3 linked regions of the Oryctolagus cuniculus genome follow. The protein of the gene in region 1 purifies or fractionates together with the protein of each later gene. This does not show direct contact. Links are inferred from orthologs where the notes say so. Each region holds a gene or a part of one and is shown on either strand. Other genes may lie near its edges.

What was found. The genes of interacting proteins can lie anywhere in the genome.
Region 2: the proteins of ARID4B (region 1) and SAP130 fractionate together in Homo sapiens (co-fractionation; 4 studies listed by BioGRID, with this or other methods). This does not show direct contact. The link is inferred for Oryctolagus cuniculus from reciprocal best matches to the Homo sapiens genes ARID4B and SAP130.
Region 3: the proteins of ARID4B (region 1) and SUDS3 purify together in Homo sapiens (affinity purification with western blotting; 3 studies listed by BioGRID, with this or other methods). This does not show direct contact. The link is inferred for Oryctolagus cuniculus from reciprocal best matches to the Homo sapiens genes ARID4B and SUDS3.

The regions. Positions count from the first base shown.
Region 1 is NC_091444.1:54,582,489-54,590,356, forward strand, and holds the start of ARID4B (AT-rich interactive domain-containing protein 4B), read right to left. Parts: upstream 5,016-7,868; 5' UTR 4,926-5,015; intron 4,898-4,925; exon of another isoform or gene 4,435-4,897; intron 3,868-4,434; exon of another isoform or gene 3,805-3,867; intron 3,611-3,804; 5' UTR 3,562-3,610; coding exon 3,556-3,561; intron 1-3,555. Other genes in the region: GGPS1 (geranylgeranyl pyrophosphate synthase), read left to right, coding at 5,980-6,004. UniProt on the Homo sapiens protein: Acts as a transcriptional repressor. May function in the assembly and/or enzymatic activity of the Sin3A corepressor complex or in mediating interactions between the complex and other regulatory complexes.
Region 2 is NC_091434.1:118,396,473-118,403,664, forward strand, and holds part of SAP130 (histone deacetylase complex subunit SAP130), read right to left. Parts: intron 5,053-7,192; coding exon 4,804-5,052; intron 4,643-4,803; coding exon 4,517-4,642; intron 1-4,516. UniProt on the Homo sapiens protein: Acts as a transcriptional repressor. May function in the assembly and/or enzymatic activity of the mSin3A corepressor complex or in mediating interactions between the complex and other regulatory complexes.
Region 3 is NC_091452.1:14,544,941-14,552,132, reverse strand, and holds part of SUDS3 (sin3 histone deacetylase corepressor complex component SDS3), read right to left. Parts: intron 5,051-7,192; coding exon 4,955-5,050; intron 4,107-4,954; coding exon 4,045-4,106; intron 3,887-4,044; coding exon 3,865-3,886; intron 2,846-3,864; coding exon 2,740-2,845; intron 1-2,739.

The DNA.
Region 1 (7,868 bases):
ACCACAATTACTGTATGATAGAATAAACACTCTTATAATTCAGTCTGCTATATGCTTTGCTTTATTTTTCTGTTTCTTCTAGTAAATTGTGAGCTCCTTGAGTGGTCAGATAGCTTATTCACCTTTGTTCCACACTGCCTGACACGTGTAATGGGTTGTTACTGAACGAATGATTTATGAAAGGGGGCAAGGCAGATGGAAGGAAGGAAAGGGAAGAAGAGATGGAAGGCAGAAAAGGGGAGAGAGGAAGGAAGTAAGGGGGGATGCAAGGAGAGAAAGATTTTTAATTCACAGGCCTTTTAAAAAGAGCATTTGTAATCAGTCCATTATTTTTATATGGCGTAAGTCAGTGATTACTGAAGACAGAATAGTACATCTGAAAAAGCCAATCTACTCACATTACAAGTACAACCACTAAATCACTCAATCCCTTAAAGATTGTGATATATATCTAGTCCATCTGGCCCAATTTCATTTGAACATTTACTGCAATGTAATGACAGATGTTAATAACAGGCACAACATAAAAGCAGAAAAAGGTTTAGTTAGGAAAAAGAAGGAAATAAATCTGACATAATTAAAATTAAGTCTCAATTATTTACAAATGCTAATAATCTACCGTTTCCTAATTATGTCCTATCACTGATGTTGAAGAGCACAAAAAATAAATTCAACATCAGTGTTATACATGACAACATTACAGCAAACTGCTTTTGTATTACAAATCATATTTCTCAAAAGTATACTATGTAAAAATATGACAAGATAAAAGCACACTAGCCAGTAAAGCGGCTGTATTTATTTAAATAAATTCTTGAAGATAGTACAACAGGAAAATTTCTGCTCAAACTGGCACATACAAGAAGACTTTCAAAAAGTTCACGGTAAATTAATGCAAAAAACTTCAGAAATCCAGGCATAGTTTTTCTGTAATATACAAATTCCGTGAACTTTATGCCACCTCATGTGCAAGGACATTTCTCTTTATTTTGGGACTTTCAAGCAATGACCAGAAACTGTTACTGTACTCTTTCAATTACCTCAATACTCTGTGACTTAATGGACTCAAAAAAAGTTGTCACTGACAGAACATACAATTCATATTTAAAAGCTTGCTTGGTGGCCAGCGCCGCGGCTCACTAGGCTAATCCTCCGCCTAGCGGCGCCGGCACACCGGGTTCTAGTCCCGGTCGGGGCGCCGGATTCTGTCCCGGTTGCCCCTCTTCCAGGCCAGCCCTCTGCTGTGGCCAGGGAGTGCAGTGGAGGATGGCCCAGGTGCTTGGGCCCTGCACCCCATGGGAGACCAGGAAAAGCACCTGGCTCCTGGCTCCTGCCATCGGATCAGCGCGGTGCGCCGGCCGCATCGCGCTGGCCGCGGCGGCCATTGGAGGGTGAACCAACGGCAAAGGAAGACCTTTCTCTCTGTCTCTCTCTCTCACTGTCCACTCTGCCTGTCAAAAAAATAAAAATAAAATAAAATAAATAAATAAAAAAAAAAAAGCTTGCTTGGTAAGATCCAATAAATGGTGTAAATCCTTCTACAGCTCATTTGTCATTATAATATTTAAATTAGGAACATGAAAAAAAAATTAGGTCCAACACAATCAACATTAAATATATCTGAATTGCAATTTTTGCTAAAGTAAAATATAAATCACAGGCAGCTTCGTATCTTTTGGCATAGTAAAAACCGTAAGAAATAAGCTAAGTTCTTAGCACTAGTCATTACTAGTAAATTCCCTAAGAGAGTACCTGTTACAACAACAGGAAGTTTTCTTGTATAAAGTTAGAAATTTCTCTTTCCTTTCAACATTACCAGCACATTTTTATAAAAGACAGTAAGAATGGAAATGGTGAACACTTAAACCTAGTAGTTCAAAAACGATACCAAAAATTTGCATTTTTCTAATACCATGAAACTTTTAAGACTAAAGTTTCCAACATACTTTCATTTTTTAGACAGACAAGTTTAAAAAAAAAAAGTGGGTGCAGAACGAAAGGAACAAAGAAAAATCTAAAAGAACTCCAACTTACTATATTTCTTTTGACCAAACATTTACAGAGTACCTAAGATGTGTCAAGCACTACACTGGGCACCGTGACAGATTACAACATTTGTTCCAAACTAAACCCTGAATTTACTCAGCTTCTACACTTTTTAGTATACATTATTCAACCCACTGTTTTCTTAAGAAATTTTCAACCTACATCAAGGAATGTACATGGTTCTCCCAATAAATCCACTTTTCACTATTTTACGCAGGTCACAGGAGTTGCGACCAACAAAAGGGATTCATTTCTAAAACCTCACCGGTTACGTTTTCAAGGAAGTGAGACAGCAACTCAGCAAATACGAACTGTTTCAGGCATTTTATGGTGTCCCAAAGTCAAGAAAGAATCTTTAAAAAGCTGGGCTAAATTACTTCGAATAGTGAATACTTAAATAACCACAGCTTTTACTTTTCTTCCATAAGCACAAACATTACAAATTTTAACTTAGACAAAGTACTGAAAAGGCAGTCTTGATTCTAAAGAGAAGTAAAATCTATTTCTGAAAAAACAATTTGAAGGAACTGTCAAAAGTAGATGACATTTACAAGCTAACGTGCTGTCTGTTGCATTCCTGAGCTTGTTAACACAATCTACCCCTTTAAAGCACCTCTGAATTTGTAACGGATGAAAAAATATCTGCTAGTAACTAACGTCCACCAGTTGAACCTAGACATTTTAGTTATCAGAAGGCTTTTTATTCTAGAGGGTAAAAAAAATAAGACTGCAGTCATTTACACATTCTCGAAAGAGAAAAAAAAAATGCACCTGTACTTCAACTGCTATAATTTCTTCCACCAACTAGACAAATTGCATTTTTCAGACCCTATCCTCCATTCAGTTAACATGTTTACATTTAAGAGGAAGCTGGCCATCAGTTTCTCACACATTACAATGCAACACAGCATCCAACAATTTGCAGGCTAAGAAGGCCTTTATAAAGAGGTGGGGGACATACAAGCTTAAATCTCTGGAAATATCTCTGGAAATACAGGAACAAGTGCCATCTCTGAACTGCGTAAAGATCATCAAAATTCTGTTTCAAGATCTTTGCATGATGATGATTTTTGTGGCTATTAAACAGGTTTTCTGCTAAAATTCACAGTACTATTTCCACACGAAATGAGATTTTCTTTCATCAGTGTAACCGACAGAACCACAATACAGTTCCGTTTCTAGAGTCAGATTACTTGACCTGCTTTTTGTTTTTACCTTTTAAAACACTTAGAGGCGTGCAGTTATTGCTACCGTTCCCTGTAAAAAGCCGTTCTATACGGAAGACTCACCCTCCACGAGATATCCTAGAACTAACTCCACAACTCCACAGCAAAGCCCGTGCACATTCCCACCAGCTGACCCCTATCGTCTCCTGGGAGGGGCTCAGCCCCAAGCCACCAAACACATCCTCCCCTGCAAAACTCGAAGGCCGCACACGACGACCGCGGCTCAAGCCCCTGCTTTCTGAATTCTAAAACCCAGAGGTTCTTTTTCTGCGGGCAGACTTACCTTCATGGTGAATCTGGGACTGCGTTCCGCTCAGAAACACCAGATTCACCTGCACCTGGAGGGGAAACAAAAGACACCCAGTTAACACCACGGGCACCCCTCTGCACCAGCGGCGGAGTAGAGAAGAAAGCGAGCGATGCCCGAAGCCCAGAGAAAGAGCCTTGCAGAGAGGGAATCGGCCCCGGAACCACCATGAGCCGATTCGGGGCTCCCTCTGGCCTCGCCATCCCCGCAAACACGGCCACCTACACAGCTCGGCAGCTTCCCGTCCCCATTGTCGGGACCCGACGGAGTTTCCCGTCTCCGACAATGACGCCATTTCTGTCAGTGAAGAAACTCACAACAAGCCCGGGGTCCGGCGCGGGGCCGGCCGCCCTCCCCCGCGGGCCTCGTCGCCGGGCTGAGCCGGTCCGCGCCCCCACCGGCCTCGCAACCCCGCGTCGGAGCCGGAGCCCGGCCGGGGGCCGCCGAGGGGCAGGACGGGCCCGAGGGCCGAAGGCAAGACCAGCCCACCCCAGAGCCTCTGCCCACGTCCCGTTCAAAGCCGAGACCCGACAAGTGCGAGCGAGATCAACATCTGCCCCCGCCGCGGGGACGGCGAGAGGACCGAGGGCCTGGGAGGCAGCACGGACCCCCACCCCGCCTGGGCCCCCAGCCGCGGCCAAGGGCCGCTAAACCGCTGAGTGTGCGGCCGCCCGGCCAGGGGGCGGCTCGGACTCGGCTGCTGCGGGGGGGCGGGGGCCCCGGGAGGCCGAGGCCCCGAATCGGGGCGCTGGGGAGACCACCACAGCCATCTACCCCCTGCTCCTCGACCGGGCCCAGCGACTCCCAAAAGGACCCCCTTAGAAGACCGCGAAAGCCCCGGAAAATAACCCCTACCTTCCTCGGAGGCGAGATCTGACCCTGGCACGTCCAGAGTCCCCTCTCCTCCACCCCCCCCAAAACCAGCAGGCCCGGGGGAGAGATGGGGAAGAAGGGCGGTGGGTCCAGTGGCTGCTGAAGCTGAGGCTCCGGCTCCTCCTCCTCCCGCGGCGGCGACTGGTACCTTTGTTTGGCGGCCGCTCGGGTTCCCTCGCTGGGGGGAGGGGGGACGACGAAAAATCCCTCCTGGACTGGAGGTCCGGGCCCCCAATCGCGCTGCCCTCCAGAGGACGACGGCGATGGACCCTCTGCGGCTCCCTCGAGGCAAAGGTCCAGGCGGTGGCCGTGGTGGCGGCAAGCTTAAGCCCAAGAGTCTCCCTCAGCTTCGGCGCCCGAGCTCCTCACTCCGGACTCGACTGACGGGCAAACATCGCTTCCCCCCCCACCACCCTAGATTCCCCCCCTTCCCTCCTTTCTCCCCTCCCCTAGTTTTCTTTCCCCTCCCCTACCTCTTTCCCGGATGGCCTCTTAGGCGACCTCGGATTGGTTATTTTTCTTTAAAACCCGCCTATACCCTCTTCCTACTGGTCCCAAGGATACAAACAACGACGCCATTTTCCCACCAGTTCTATGGAAACAGAAAGTTACGCCTCAAAGCTTCCTGGGAAATGTAGTCCAGCCAACCCAGGCCAACGCTCAAACCTTCGCTCAGGAGAACTGCACAACCCGCAAGGCCCCGCGCCGCGCGAGACGGGACAGGGAGGGAAAGGGGGCGGGGCGACAAAGCGGTGGGGAGGCGGCAACGACGCCTGCGCAGTGTGACCAGGATGGCGCATTTTCTTGCATCGAGTAATGCGGTGTCGCTGGCGGCTGAGGAGGGCGGAGAGTTCTGTAGTGAAGCGGGGGGAGGGATTCATGTAGGCATCGGGAGGAGCCTTGGTCTGAACTACAAAGTGGGAAGTTGATGCTGGGTGTGGCTACTCCCGGACCGGCGGCGTGAAAGTCGTGATATCATCGTTGAACCGTGAGCGGCAGTTCTGGCGGCTGGGGGGGACCCGGATGGCAAGGAGGGCGGAGGAGGATGGGGGGTGGACAGAGGGGAAAGAAAGAAAGGAGGGAGAGGACCCGGATGCTGAACCGGATTGTGTACGACTTTCCCATCCCCTAGCGTGAGACGGGGCGGGGGGTGGGTGACCCAGGAGGGCGGAAGAGGGCATCTGGGCTAGCATGGTAGACATTCGAAACTCTCTGCCAAGCCGCTGTTAAAAATCGGCGTCTTAAGTTATTTGAAGCGCCTGCCTCTATGTGTCGGGCAGTTTCCTTCAAACCCAGCATCTCCTGGAGTTCAAGAGGAAAGATTCGGTCTGTGCTCCGCATTTTGTGTGTGTCTTGTTTAGTAACTCTGAAACCAGGCCCTTCCCTTGAGGGGGAGGGAAAAAAGACTCTGTGTGGAATTTTTATTTTCTCAAAGCGAGCCGATGTTCTGATTCGTCCTGTAACACATTGGAAGGCACTTGCGTTCAGCCCTTCACATGTGTCCTAGGAAAATGTGGCGAAGCTAGCATGACCCTTCTTGAAGCTAAGTCTGGTGAGAGATGTGAAACTAAACGGACTCACCAGTGAATGTGAAATTGCAGTAGTGGCAATGCTACAAAGCAGAATTAAGTGGAGAATGTGAAACCGGGAATTTGGCTTAGGAAGATAACGGGAGGCTTTCCCAAGATAGAGCTGCAGGGGTAGGGAGCATTAACTGGAAGAGAAGCACATTCCAGACAAGAGGAGTTGGAAAGGCTTGTATCAGGAGGCAGCCCTTCTGAGTTTTTGTTCTTGTCCTAAGAGCAGTGGTACACCTTTCAAAAGTTCTCAATTGGAAAGGAGAGGGGGTGAGTTTGAACTGTGCAAAGGCACATGAGAAAGAAGTGAATGCAGAGATTCCCGCAAGGAGGCTACTGAGTTAGTGCTTCACCTGGTGGAAAGAGTGTATTGTGTGTGTTTTTTAAAAGATTTGTTTACATATTTATTTATTTATTTATTTATCTATTTGAAAGAATTATAGAGGGGGTAGGTGGAGGAACAGCAGAGACCCTCCATCTGTAGGTTCACTCCCTAGGTGCCCACAATAGCCAGGGCTAGGCCAGGCCAAAGCCAGGAACCCGGAACTCCATCCTGGTCTCCCAGATGGGTGGCAGGAGCTCAAGTACTGAGGCAATCACCTGCTGCCTCCCAGGCACGTTAGCAGGAAGTTGGATTCCAACCAGGCATTCCATCCACTGCAGCTGGGATGAACCCCAGGAACATGCTCTATCCCCAAGGAAGTATGAGAGTGATAAAGAAGCAGACGAGATGGCGATTAGCAAAGAATTTTATTGAAAAAGCAAAGAGAAGAACTTCTGTAGCCTAGAGGGGAACAGAATTCCACTGAAACTAACTAGTGGAGTTTATATACATAAACCTTAAAGACTCTACAGTGTGGCGAAAGCACTTTATCTTAGAATCTGTCAAGGGAGTTGCTTATCTTCCTCAGACTGCCAAAACTGTACAGGCATATGACCACCATAAACTGGCCACTGGTCACTCTGACGCCAGAGCCGCCTTTTCCCCTCTAATTGCCGAAACCCTTTCCTTTCCATGACAAGCTCTACACTCTCTGTCTAGACACCTGATTTTCCTTACTTTCCTCACATAGCATAAGCAGTGGCTTAACTGGCTGTGCCACAATGTTCACTCTCAGTTGTAGTCGTACAAAGATCCATTGATCCACAGTTTGACCAAATTTCTAGCATTTTATCAGTTTTGAAAGTGAGGACTTGTGCCAGCATTGTGGCCTGGTGAGCTGCTGCAGCTCCAGGATCCCATATGGGCACCAGTTCCTGTCCCAGCTCCCTTCTGACCCTGCTCCTTTTTTTTTTTTTTTTTTTAAGATTTATTTTTATTTATTTGAAAGTCGGAGTTACACAGAGAGAGAAGGAAAGGCAGAGGGAGAGAGGTCTTCCATCCACTGGTTCACTCCTCAGTTGGCCACAATGGCCAGGGATGCAGTGATCTGAAGCCAGGAGCCAGGAGCTTCTTCTGGGTCTCCCATGTGGGTGCAGGGACCCACATGGACTTGGGCCATCTTCTACTGCTTTCCCAGGCCATAACAGAGCTGGATCAGAAGTGGAGGAGCTGGAACTCAGACCAGCGCCCATATGGCATGCTGGCACTGTAGGTAGTGGCCCTCACCCACTACACCACAGCCCTGGGGCCCCTCCTGCTCCCTTCTAATGGCCTGGGAAAAGCAGCAAAAATGGCCCAAGTGCTTGGGACTTGGCCACCGATGCGGGAGACCTGAGGAACTTCCTGGCTCCTGGCTTCAGTGTGGCCCAGCCCTGGCAGTTGTAGCCATCTGGGGAGTGAACCAGCAGATATAAGATCGCTCTCTCGTTCTGTGTGTGTGTGTGTGTGTCTGTCTG
Region 2 (7,192 bases), on another chromosome or scaffold:
CAAACCGCTCACAGCACTAAGAGCACTAAGAGGAGGCACTGGCAGAAGAGGTGAGGGAGGGCATTATGACCATGCACGGCAGGTGCAACAGAAAATACTGACGAAGAAACAGAAATGACGAAATTCTCTAGAGGGGCTCAAAGCAGAACTGAGGTGGCACCAGGATAATGAGCAGCGCCCCAGTGAAATGCAGGGCATTTCTCTGAGAACCAACATGGGATGGGGCACCAGGAGGGGAGACAGAGAGAGAGAGAGGAGAAGGAATCCTCCAAGAAACAGTGGAAGAAAATTCCCCAAATTTTTGACAGACACCCTACACATCCAGGAAGCTCAAGGAACAACAAGTTTGACAAATGCAAAGAGAACCACAAATACACCTCCATAGTAAAAAATGCCAAAAGTCAAAGACAGGGAGAACATTTTCAAACTAGCGAGAGAAAAAAATGATTCTTCAGGGGTAGGTATTTGGCCTCGCAGGTAAGACCCACCTGGAATGCCCACATCCCATATGAGAGTGTCCAGCTCCCAGTCCCGGCTTCCTGCTCATGTGTACCCCAGGAGGCAGCAGCTGATGACTCAGGAACTTGGGCCCCTGCCACCCACCCAGGAGATCCTGACTGAGTTCCTGGCACAGCCCCAGCTGGTATGAGCATCTGTGGAGTGAACCAGCAGATGGGAGCTTTCTCTCAAATTAAAAAAAAAGAAAAAAGGGCACTGAAATTCTTTTAAAAATACTGAATTTACAAGCAAACCCCGGTATAATTAACAGCTGACTTCTTGGCAGAAACCACAGGGGCTGGAAGGCAGTCGGACGACAAATTCAGAGTACTCAAGGCCATGTAAGAGGAATCTAGTTTTTCTACTTCTGCACTGGCATTCACAATTGTCACTATTTTCTAACTCAGTTGTTTGAATGTGGTTTTTTTTGTGATCTCATTGTTCCTTAATTTGCATTTCTGTAATAGTTGCTAATGTTGGACTTTAATTTTTTTAATGACTTTTACTGTGCCAGGAACCTTTCCAGGAATTCAGATTGATTTCTCATTGTCTCCGTAAGATTCCTCTTGGCTGTGCCACTTCTCAGCCCTTGCTTATTTCTGACATCCCTGGCAACTGTGAAGCTAACGGTCAAGTATTCGGTACACTGTCCTGAGTCCAATGAATCTCTCAGGATCAACTGCCAATGGGTTTCTGAGAGGAGCACCAGAGACTAGGTGCCATGCTCCTCACATCCTAGGAAGGACACACAGCGTTAGTCAATGTGGCTCAGCACAGCTGGCGCTGACCTCGGCACCTGGCAGACATCTGTGAAGTTACCTCCTTTGCCTGTCTATACTGTACAGCATGGAAGAAAACCCCTCTGCATGCCCTGCAGTGCTATCCCATTGTATTCTTTTTTTTTTTTTTTTTTTTTTTAATTTTTGACAGGCAGAGTGGACAGTGAGAGAGAGAGACAGAGAGAAAGGTCTGTCTTTACCATTGGTTCACCCTCCAATGGCCGCTGCGGCTGGCGCACCGCGCTGATCCGAAGCCGGGAGCCAGGTGCTTCTCCTGGTCTCCCATGCAGGTGCAGGGCCCAAGGGCTTGGGCCATCCTCCACTGCACCCCTGGGCCACAGCAGAGAGCTGGCCTGGAAGAGGAGCAACCGGGACAGAATCCAGCACCCCGACCAGGACTAGAACCTGGTGTGCTGGCACCGCAAGGCGGAGGATTAGCCTATTGAGCCGCAGCGCCAGCCCCCATTGTATTCTTTTTTTTTTTTTTTTTTTTTTTTTTTTTTATTTTTTGACAGGCAGAGTGGACAGTGAGAGAGAGAGACAGAGAGAAAGGTCTTCCTTTGCCGTTGGTTCACCCTCCAATGGCCGCCGCGGTTGGCGCGCTGCGGCCGGCGCACCGCGCTGATCCGATGGCAGGAGCCAGGAGCCAGGTGCTTCTCCTGGTCTCCCATGGGGTGCAGGGCCCAAGCACCTGGGCCATCCTCCACTGCACTCCCTGGCCACAGCAGAGGGCTGGCCTGGAAGTGGGGCAACCGGGACAGAATCCGGCGCCCCGACCGGGACTAGAACCCGGTGTGCCGGCGCCGCTAGGCGGAGGATTAGCCTAGTGAGCCGCGGCGCCGGCCCCCCATTGTATTCTTGATAGTCAGGATTTGTGTATTCTCTGATTCTTTTTTTCCAAGAACTAGTTTCTCATTTTTGCTATTATTTTTGTTTTCAATTACATTTACTTCTGCTCTTTTTGTATTAAGCTTCTTTTTTTTTGGGTAAAGGTTTATTTATTTAAAAGGCAGATACACAGAGAGAGAAGGGGGGAGAGTGGGAGGAAGAGAGAGCAAGCGAGTGAGAGAGAATCTTCCATCTGCTGGTTCACTCCCCAAATGGCCACAATGGCCAGAGCTGAGCTGAGCCAATACCAGGAGCCAGGTTCCCACATGGGTGGCAGGGATCAAAGTACCTGGGCCATCCTCTGCTGCTTCCCCAGACATATTAGCAGGGAGCTGGATCAGAAGTGGAGCAGCCAGGACTTGAACCAGCATCCATATGGGATGCTGGCGCTGCAGGCAGTAGCTTAACAAGCTGTGCCACAGCACCAGCCCCAGCTTTTTTCTTCTGAAGTATACTTTACCTGAAAGCAACCTCTTTTTTTTTTTTTTTTTTTAATAATCCTTGTACACATTTTCCCATTCTTTTATTGTCAGTCTACCTATGTCACTGTAGATAGCATAACTGGATTGTGTTTTTTCATTCACTCTGTCAATCTGCTTTTTGTTTTTTAAAGATTTATTGATTTATTTACTTGAAACACAGAGAGACAGAGAAAGAAGGGAGATGGGGAAACAAATCTTCATCTGCTGATTCACTCCCCAAATGGCCACTAAGGCCAGAGCCAGGACAGGCTGACTCCAGGAGTCAGGAAGTCCATCTGGGTCTCCCACGTGGGTGGCAGGGGCCATCTTCCCTTGCTTTCCTAGGAGCATTACCAGGGAGCTGGACTGGAACCAGGGCAGACAGGACATGAACCAGCACTCACATGGGGTCTGCATTTCAGGCGGCAGCTGAATGTGCTGTACACCAAGCCAGCTCCCTGCCAGTCTGTTTTAATTGGTATGTTTAAACTCTCTGCGTTTAAAGCAATTGTTGATGTTCTGGTTTCAGTTTACTATGTTACTGTCCATTTTCTGTTTGCTTCCTGTATTTCAGCTCATTTCCCTATTTTTCACCCCTGTCAATTATTTCCTATAACATTCCAGCTTCATTTATTTTAAGAATAGGATTTCAAAACTTAGGTAAAGTCATTCAACTAAAGTTTAATAATTAAGAGGTTTGGTGCAAAGGAGGTTTCAGGCTCATAAACCTTTCACTTGTCAAGTTATCTTTCCCAATCAAGTATTTTTTACTATTTATTTTTATTTGAAAGGCAGAGTGATGAAGAGTGAGGGGAGATGATCTCTCATCTACTGGTTGACATCTCAAATGCCTACTACAGCCAGAAATGGGTCAGACTGAAGCCAGAAACTCCATCTGGGTCTCCCATGTGGGTGGCAGGGACCCGAGCACTTCAGTCATCTCTGCTGCCTCCCAGAGTGTGCATCAGCAGGAAGCTGATTCAGAAGCAGAGGTGGGACTTGAACCCAGGCACTGGAATTTGGAATGTGGGAATCCCAAGTGGTGGCCACAACACCCACCCTCCCGAGAGTTTTGGAGGAGGCGGCCCAATAAGCAGTAAGAATGTTTTAGTAAGGCTGCAAATCCCTGAATGTTTTATTACTGCGGAACTCTCCAGGCAGGAACAGATGTCTAGAGGTCGGAAGCCTGTCTCCACTGAAGGCTACACTCTCTGACTTCCACTAGTCTCATCTTTTCAAATCTCAGAGTACAGTCAGCCCCTCTGTATCTGTGAGTTCCACATCTGTGGATTCAACCAACTGCAGATTGCAAATATTTGGGGGAAAAATTTGCAGCTGCTCTGAACATACCCACACTTTCCCCTTGTTATCATTCCTTAAACAATACAGCATAGTAGCTATGAGGGTATTCAAAAGGCTCATGGAAAATGGAGTTAAAAGACTAGCTTGTTTTGGTGCAAAAACTTCTGAAATCCATGCATAGTTCTTTCATAATGCATGTTTTCCATGACTGTTCTGAAGTGCTTAAGACATCTTAGCAACCTAGGAACTATGTCAAACAGCAACCATACACAGCTCTCCCAGGAGCGCCCTGGGGGCTAAGAGCTCATTCTGCTAGCGCTTAGGGAGCTGTTAACACAGGGAATCGACTAAAGCCAAGGCTGTCAACTTAGCCATTAGACTCGAATTCCAATAAACACACATAACTTTCTGGGACAACCCAGATACTTCACTTAAACAACCACAGTCTCCAAAACAGTTACAACAAAAATTTGGTGTTTTGGAAACTGAAAAATTCTGATTATTTCTCTTTTTATATTGTGGTTAGTATACAGTCAAGTGCTATCCCCATTGCATGCATTAACACCAGATGTCTCTAGGGAAACTAACCTTTGACCCGGACGTCACTGTACCTCTGAAAGTGATGATAAGCAGCTTTCCAGGGATTCCGATAGTGACGGAGCAAGGTGATGGGAGGCCTCGGACGCACTGGGACATACCTCACACCTTCCTCATCTGTTCAAGAGGAGAGAAAAGAGGAGTATCAATAGTTTACTGTGTATCTTCAGTCCCATCAGCAACCCGTGGGTTAACACTGAAGCCATAAAGAAGCCCAGGACGGACTCCCGACTTCCGTGGGCAGGGCAGGCGACAAGAGCGGGCCTCAGCGACGTTACCGATGTACTCCTTGGGAGGAGACTTGCGCTTCTCGGCCTTCACCAGGAGACTCTTGGCAGTGGACTTCTCGTCATCAGTGCTGTTTGTCTCCATCATATCTCCTTCTTCCGTGGAGATCACATGCTGCTGCTTTCGCGGCTTCTTCCTTGGGGAGGCACCGGGTGGTAGGTCACTTGCAGGCATGGACAGGTTGTTGGCTAGCAATGCGAGCGATGGCGACACAGTGTTGGTAGCCAGGGGAGGAACTGCTGTGAGAGAAAATGCAGCAAACACAGCCATGAGAACCCAAACTCAACAGAGAACTCGCTTTGCAGAATTGACAGTCGTTAGAAGGCAGTTCAGGCAGCTAACATGGACCACACTCTCCTGTGCGGGTGGGGGCTGTGCCAAGCACAGCAGCGCAGATGCCGTCAGCTACTTCCTAGTGCACCGGGTCCTCGTCCTCCTTAGTTGCAAGGACCCTCACTGACACGGGCACAGTGCCACTCAGCTCAAAGAATGTGTTGCAGGTGTGGTCATTTAAGATGGAATTGGAAGGGTTCTATTGGACTTCTAGGAAGTTTCCTTAAAAGGAAGGTTTGACCTTCTACTTCTCATCTTCTTTCTGTGACTCCAGAACTCAGATGTGATGGCTGGGGCTCCAGCAACCCCTCAGCAGCACTGTCTGTATACAGTGTCTCTGTTCTTCTGCTTTCTCCTGGACTTGCTCCCAGTCGGGCCTTTACCCTTCTCATTACAGGAAAACCACCCTTCTCGAGGTCTCTGCACCTCCGCGTGGCTAAACTAAGGGGTCACTGCTCAGTCCCGCCTCCCCACGGCAGGTGATCAGCACAGCAGGTGATTCCCTCCTCCTGGGAATGTCGCTGCCCTTTCCTCACAGGACATGCCATACTCTGGCTTGCGTGCCCACCACTCTGGCCCCTCTCTTCAGGCTCCTTTGCTGAATTCCACCTCCTCTCCTGCCTCACAATGGTCGCTGTCTACAGAGTGCTTCTATTTCTATCAGGATTTCCTCCCTGGATGGCCTCATGCAGGCTCATAGGGGTTGTTGTTTTTTTTTTTTTTAAACTTTCTAAGGAAGAGGAAGAGAGAGGTAAGGAGCTCTTCCATCCACTGGTTCACTCCCCAAATGCCTGCCACAACCAGGGATGGGGATGGGCCAGGCCAAAGCCAGAAGCCAGGAATTCCATCTGGGCCTCCCACTGAGTGTCAGGAGCCCAAGTACTTGAGTCCTCCTCTGCTGCCTTCCAGGCGCACTAACAAGGAGCTGGATTGAAGTGGAGGAGTCAGTATTTCATCATAGGCACTGCGGTATGGAACGCGGGCATCTTAGCTGGTGTCTTAACAACTAGGCCATACACATGCCCCTTAAAACCTTTTTTAAAATTCCAGTGCTTACTTTTTTTTATCTTAAAGCTCTTGTCACCTAAATGAGTAAGATACTAGATTCTTACATTTGTCTCCTTTACTAGAACATAAGCTCTAAGAGGACAGAGGCATACTTGCTTTGTCCCATCAGTGCTGGAACCGTTCCTGCCATTGAGCCCTGCAGCCTGAGCCAGGGCTGCTGTCAGCTTCTAACACAGAGAGCCAAGGGAATCATCCAAAGCCGGAGAATAGACAAACAGCCCAACAGAGAAACTTTCGTATCCTCTCCTGGGTTTCCCACGGCATCTTTCCGTCAATGTGTCAGACTAAACATATTCAGGAAAGGACATTTCATGGCATGATAAACCAAAGTAAATAGATACAAGTAAACAAACAGTGAGTTTTAAAAACATATACATTATTGCTGTGGCTCAGTGGGTTAAACCGTGGCCTATGATGCCAGCATCCCTTATGTCGGTTCAGGTCCCTGCTGCTCCACTCCAATCCACCTCCCTGCTAAAGGACCCCTGCCACCCATGTGGGAGACCCGGATGGAGTTCCAGGCTCCTGGCTTCAGCCTGGCCAAGTCTTGGCTGTTGGAGTCATTTGGGGAGTGAACCAGCAGATGGAAGATCTATCTCCCTTTCCCTCTCTCTTTCTCTGTAACTCTGCCTTTCAAGTAAAATAATAAATCTTAAATAAATAAATAGCCTTTTTAAAAAGCCATGAACCCGTGTGAGTGAACGAGGCCATCCAGGGAGGAAATCCTGATAGCAACAGAAGCACTCTGTGGACGGAGCCCTGGGACACTGACCATTATGAGGTAGGAGAGGAGGCGGAATTCAGCAAAGGAGCCTGAACAGAGGGGCCAGCGTGGTGGGCACACAAGCCGGAGGAGGATGTGTCCTAAAGGTACAGAAAAAGAAGGGTGCTGAGTGCAGGGAATGATGCGGAGAGCAAGTGCTTTTGATGGTACAGATGACTTGGAAGAAGCATTCTGAGTATTCCTGAAGCGGCATC
Region 3 (7,192 bases), on another chromosome or scaffold:
AGAAAGATGGTGAAAATTCCTTTGAATTGGTTAGGAGTCCTAACACATCAAATGTGACTGCTCCATTTATGTTATGAAACATCAGTCAATGGGCAGCCTTTCTTTAAAAAAAAGTTTTATTTTACTGCATGTTCAGCCTCAAGACACGTCTCATAAAGTCTAAGGATTAAGCATAGAAGGAGGGAGGGATGGAGATCCAAAGCAACGTAATTACAAAATGAACATCATTTGAAATATCACATGGCTTTAAGACTCACAGATCCATAAAAATGTTAGTGATAAATCTCATCATTTCCAAAGATGGTTCTATGTGTGGGCTTGATCTTTAAAGGTTATTTGGTTTTCATTATTAGAAACATTTTTCATCTTAGTTTGCCCCACTGTGTTAAGCTGTTAGAGCCTGCCACCTAGTGGTGATGTGCTCTGATAAGCAACGTTAACATACAGTGGTAGCTAGACTTTAAGAGCATCAAATAGCCAAATTAGAGAGACAGAGGTTGGGGCTGGCACTGTAGCATAATGGGTAAAGCTGCCACCTGCAGTGCCAGCATCCCATATGGGTGCCTGCTCAAGTCCCAGCTGCTCCACTTCTGATCCAGCTCTCTGCTATGGCCTGGGAAAGCAGTAAAAGATGACCCAAGTCCTTAGGCCCCGTACCCGCAAGGGAGACCAGGAGGAGGCTCCTGGCTTCAGATTGGTGCAGCTCCAGCCATTGCAGCCAATTAGGGAGTGAACCAGCAGATGAAGGACCTCTCTCTCTGCCTCTCCTTCTCTCTCTCTGTAACACTTTCAAGTAAATAAATAAATCTTAAAAAAAAAAAAAAAAAAAAAAGGGACAGAGGTCACTATGATCAGGCTTAGAAACACAGCAAGACTCCATCACCTACCAGCCAACTCACTGACTGGAACTTAATAGGAGAAAATTATTTCAGGCATGACAAGATCTCAGAGTATTTTGTCAATGTACTATATAAGGTAACCAACTAACAACATTCTGGGGACTTTTTCCCTTAAAATAGTTAAAAAGTTTCAAAATAACCATTACCCTAATTTTGGAACTTTTGCTAAATAAAGATACTGAAACTCAGAATCACTATATAGTCGTTAAAAATGATAATTACAGCAAAGCATAAACATTCTCCATGTAACCAAGTGGAAAGGCAGGATGTAATCATGTGTCTACTTTGACTTACACAGAACAGTAAGCCCGAGTATGGCCAAAGAGCAGAAAGAAGTGTGTCAGAATTAAAATCACTGTGAAAACATGGCAAGACCCAGGGTGATTTAACACCTAGCAGAACACCTAACACGAAGCAGACAGTAAGTGTCTGTTGAATGAATAAATGTATGAGATCTTACGGTTTTTTCATATTGTTTTGCCACTTCCTTTCTAGTTAAAAAATGCTGTCAGTCTGAAGGTCTAAAACACTCTTCACTCTCAAGTAGAAATGCTTTAGGATGCAATTCCCCCAAGTAAGCTTCCTGGTACACTTGTATAGCAGGATGATGCATGAAGAAAAGATACAGCTATCAAAAAATACCTAAAATCTTAGAAATTCAGAGCACCTCAGCATATCACAGGATCCAAAGAAGGCTACAAGAACAAAAACCATTTACCTTTTTGTTGTTTTAAGATTTATTTATTTGAAAGGCAGATATACTGAGAAAGAGGAGACAGAAAATCTTCCATCCACTAGTTCACTTCCCAAATGGCCACAAAAGCTGGGGTTGGGCCAGGCGGAAGCCAAGAACCTCCTCTAGTTCTCCCACATGGGTGGCGGGAACCCAAGGACTTGGGCCATCTTCCACTACCTTCCCAGGCACAGTAGCAGGAAGCTGGATCAGAAGAGGAGCAGCTGGGACAAGAATTGGCGCCCATATGGGATGCTCACACCACAGGTAGCGGCTCAACCTTCTATGCCACAGCACTGGCCCTCCCCGCCATTTATCTTAATTAACATGGTCTTCTCCCAAACTGATGTGATCACAAAATCCTTTTAGGTGCAGAACACCTATTAACTTGAGCACACAGGGGCAGAGTTCAGAGGAGGCAAAAAGAAACATATACTACAGCCAATGAAGCCACCTAGGGAGTGAACCAGCAGGTGGAAGATCTCTCTGTTTTTCCCTTTCTCTCCATAACTCCCTCAAAATAAATTAATACATCTTCTTAAATACACACACACAGAGACACACACACACTTCAAAAATTGTGCTGAGATCCAACATAGGTGTCCAACACGTAACTGCTGGAACATTTTCAAATGGAGTTCCACTTGTACTACTGTGAAGTTATTCTGCAGTTATGCTCTGAAAAACAACTGTAGATGGGGGCAGTGCTGTGGCACAGCAGTTAAAAGCCGCCACCTGCAGTGCCAGCATCCCATATGGGGGCAGGTTTGAGTCCTGCTACTCCACTTCTGATCCAGCTCCCTGCTAATGCACCTGGGAAAGCAGAAGATGGTCCAAGTCCTTGGGCACTTGTACCCACATGGGAAACCTGGAAGAAGCTCCTGGCTTCGGGCTTCAAATCGGACCAGCTCTGGCCATTGTGGCCATTTGGGGAGTGAACCAGAGCATGGAAGATCTCTCTCTCTGCCTCTCAAATAAATAAGTAAGTCTTAAAAAAAAAAAAAAAAACACACACACACACACACACACAACTGTAGAGAGCCCCAGATCCTCTCCAACTGGTTCTTATTAGACTCTTAAAGTAATCCAGGTGTTCCCGTAACATACCATCTTTTATCATAGTACAGTTTGCCATCTTCGATCCGAGCTTCAAACCGCTGGGCAGGAGACTCTGCAGGTGTAGTAGGCAAGTGTTCAGGAGAGGATGGGGATGCTGGAGGAACCAGACACACTGGAATGACTAAGTACGTACCAAACACGTGTTGAGCCCGCCACCCAGCATGCTATAATTGAACTGCCATCAGAATGCAGTGGAATCATGACCCTCAAGCTCCTATAATGTTAGTAATGCATGGGAATTCAACACAGTTCTTGTACACTGCATCTAATTTGACCCTCAAGGCAACCTAACGAGGTAGTCAAGTCACAGACTTAACCTTCCGAGCAAAAGAGCAACCTGAGGCTCAGGAAGCTTTAAGGTCCAATGTGTAAGTTATACACAATCAGAGTAAGAATAAATCCCTGGTGATCGGAAGTCCAAAAAAGGCAGGAACAATGAAAATCTCTTTCAAAAAACGACAATTTCCAGAACTACAGTAGGGTCACACACTCAAAGCCCTCTCCCCTTCAAGACGTCCCTGTGGACTACTATGGCACTCAGGACTGTGTCTACACCAAGTTGCTTTTTGCCTGCAATAAACTTAGTGGGGAGAGGGATGTGTAAGTGACCCCACACTTAAGGCCTTACCAAGCAATTATTCCAGTATGCAAACTGGCATGCCCTCAAGTGCTGCCCTGGAAGAAACCACTGTGAACACTGGGTCAGCTTCTCCTATAGCAAGGACGCGGCAGCAGAATCAGGCCGTGGAAACGCCTCTAGCTTCACTTCAGAATGTGAGTCCTACTGGAAAACCCTTCATAATTCATTGTCAAAAAAATGCATATCAAGTTGAATCTTACGCCTGATGCCCACATAGAAAGAACCTCTACCAGTCAAAAGTCTTTTATAATAAATCCTAAAGAAAAGACAAGAATGACATACCAAGGTAAAAAAAAAAAGATAGTCAAAGGAGGGACACACTTAAGATCCCTTTCAGTTTTCATCATGACTGCTTTTGGGCCCACACTAAATATTTTATTTTTGAAACATCAACAATTCACTGACATGTATTTGCATGCTTTTACAACAATACAATAAAAAGATTGCAAACGCCAATAACATAATGCACTTACCTGGTCTCTTGGGTGACTTAAGCTGTAGGAAGAACAACAAAAAAATCTTAGAGAAAATCATTTCAGAAGCAACTGAAGGTGTCAGAGGTATCATGATGTAAAAGCAATACAACAAAGTGAAGCAGGAAACCACGTCAAGCTTTGACTTCCAAAGAAGTTTAAGAAAAAATCAAATTGTACCTTATTTAACGTTCTCAGATCCTCCATGATCTGTTCATCTGTTAACAAATAGTTTAGCTGAGGTGTTGAGAGTTAAAGGAATGTGTCTGAAAAGTACGGTTTGCAAAGAAACAGAAGGCAACAAAATGGCACCAGTATTACAGAGCTTACAAAATGTAGCTTTGTTAAATGATACTTTTATAATACTTTGCTTCCTGCAAAGTTGATTTCCCTACTAAATGTCGTGGTGTCCAGCTATAAAAAACAATTTACATCCCCAACCTTACAAACTATGATGAGAAGGTAAAATGAGACTCAGTAGGTATGTAAAATAGCAAGAACACAGGAAATAGTAAAGAATTTCATCCTGAATTTATAGGCTGCTTTTGTTCCAAAGATCTGAAGACTTTTACTCAAAACACACATACATACATACATACATACACACACACACACACACACACACACACACACTTCTCCCCACATATCATTCCCATTTTTATGATTAAAGAGGCTGCTTTATATCTGAATTAAATCTCATCTGTTTTAAGAACAGTTTTCAATCCACTACTTTAGGGATTTAGGTAACTGAGGCACATAAAGGCAGATATTACTATCCTCATTTTACAGGTGGAAAAATTAAGGCACATTAATTTTTCAGTTGCCCCGGCTGGATTTCCAACACAAAGTACCTTTTCAAATAACTCCTCTCTATAAATCTCTCCCATTAATAGCAGCAATTAGCAATTACGGACTGCGATAATAAAATGGCCCAGCCGCAACCTGTGGATGGATAACTCACAGATGCTTTCCAATCAAATGTTGCTATGCTCTGTAAGACGACAGCCATATATACTCTATCAAATGGACAGGCAAATGATTCTACAATCTTAAGAGAAAAAAGTGACTAAAACTTGATCCAAATGGATATCAGGAGCAGGTTTTCTCCTCTTGTCTGGGATGGGGACAGGGTCATTTGGTCGCCTCCGCAACTTTCTGGTCATGATGGGTTTCACTTCCATAGAATCTGTGGCAAGAACAGAATGGACAAATCTAATTCCCAGTCAGTAAGAATTTCTCTACTATAAGAATTACCTACCCCAGAGTCACTCATGCAGAACCATTTCACTGGGGAATGTTTGGTCTACACATGGCCCAAGCCAGATGCTCATATTAGATTTCAGAGTTCATGTTTATAAGATTCAAGACCAGCTGATCTAGGTGTACAATCCTCTCGAAACGTAGCCCCACAGTCTAACACTGCAATCATCTCTCCAACCTCAAAAGCTAGGGGATATCCCCTCCCTCAAATTACGAAGCTACAGATTCATCGGATCTCGAGAGTGAAAGGAACCTGGGGGTCGTCTCAGGTCACAGATGTCTGCTGTTCCCACAGACGGGAGGGAAGCTCACTGGTACAGAAGGCTCTTTCAGAGGCCACTGGCCTCTGTGCCAACATTTGTATAATAAGTCTCCATTTACAAACTCAGACCCTTTTCTCCTCTTACAGTCTTTTGTGGTTACTTGACCATCAAGAATGACATACTGAAGGCTCATAAGAAAAGCCTGTTCTCATTCTTCCTGACTTCTCTCTGTAGTCTGAACTGCAGCTGACTTCCCTGCCTTACAATCCCTGCCTTCCCAGCCTTGGCTGCACAAATCTCTGCTCTGTCACCTCCTCAGGGTTCTTTCCTGCTGGCCTGGTCCTCAAATAACGATGACCCCAATTCCCAATCATTAATTCTCGCTCCAGCCACCCCTTGGAATGGCAGCCTACACCCAACACCACACTCTCTCTCCATTCCAAAAGATCTCTTTCCTCCCCTCCCACAGCTGCCTCTTCTGCATCTCAGGACCATCTAACCTATTCATCCTTGCAAACCAAAGTGTCCTCTGTGACGGCCTTCACGCAAGCATCAAATTCACTAGACATCAGTTCTTGCAAAACTATGCCCTCATCTATTCACTAACCTACCCCAAGGACCACCTGTGCTCAAGTGACCTTCCTAAGATACAAATTAGAATATCCTGCCTCTCACTCACTCTTCTTACTAAACGTAGCACTGGCTTGCCACTCTACAAATGCCATGCCTTATTTCTGGACTTGCTCATTTCTCCTTCATTGACACTCACCCTATACTCCAGCTGTGAGCTCTCTTACCCACAGGCAACCTACTTCCATCCTTTCAAGCCTCTGCCTGCCCCTCATCCTACCTGGCAAACTCCCACATAACATCCATCCAATATTCCCCTTTGTTATAGTTTCCATGGGCAGAGACCCAGCCCATCTTCCAAGTAACCAGAGCATTGTTCCTATGCCAAGTGCCACACTACAGGACATCAGACATTGAGACTGCACTGCAGCATGGAGACTGCCCCTACCCAGCAAGAGCTGGGGCACGCTGTGTGGGCCTCACAAAACTTTCTGCAGAATGACAAGATGAGGTCACACCTGATCATGAGATAAAGCTCACTGATAATGACGCACACTGTCAGCAGAGCAGACAGGCAGGGTTATGGAATTCTACTACAGCAATGTGCAGGATCTGACTATTTAGGAAACATACAACAACAAATATTTCTGGATCTTGCTCCCAAAAAATGGGCAATAATTGAATTTTTCCCTATGAATCAAGTAAAGGTAAAATAACCATCACAGACATAATGAACACTAACAAATCTGTACCTGCAGCCTGCATAAATGCTCTATGTTGCTCGCTCCCTCGTGTAGAGAATGGAAATATCAGTCTCTCCCTAGCAGAGTACTCTAAGAGTTACACAATGATACAAGTGAAGCCCTGAGTATAGTGCCTGGCATAACCAGAATTTCAGCAATTCTGATTTTTATTATATTTTTAAGAAGGAAAAAAAAGCTATGTAAAGTCCTTTTAAGAAGTCAAGGCATTATGAGCTGAGTGAAAGTTACAGACTGTAAGGTGGTTTGATGTCAGCGGTGAGGCTTTGCAATATTCAAACCTAACTTGGAAAACAAAATGTTTAGGAGGCTCACCCTATCCAAGGGAGCACCAGAGAGAAAGCATGTAGCCCAGATCATATGGAAAGTTCTGTACACCAAAGAGAATGGCTACGTGTGCCCTGCTCCAAGGGTTGCCAAGAATGCAGGGTCGGGAGGGTGGGCAATATACCATGGAAGGGGCCCAAGTACAGG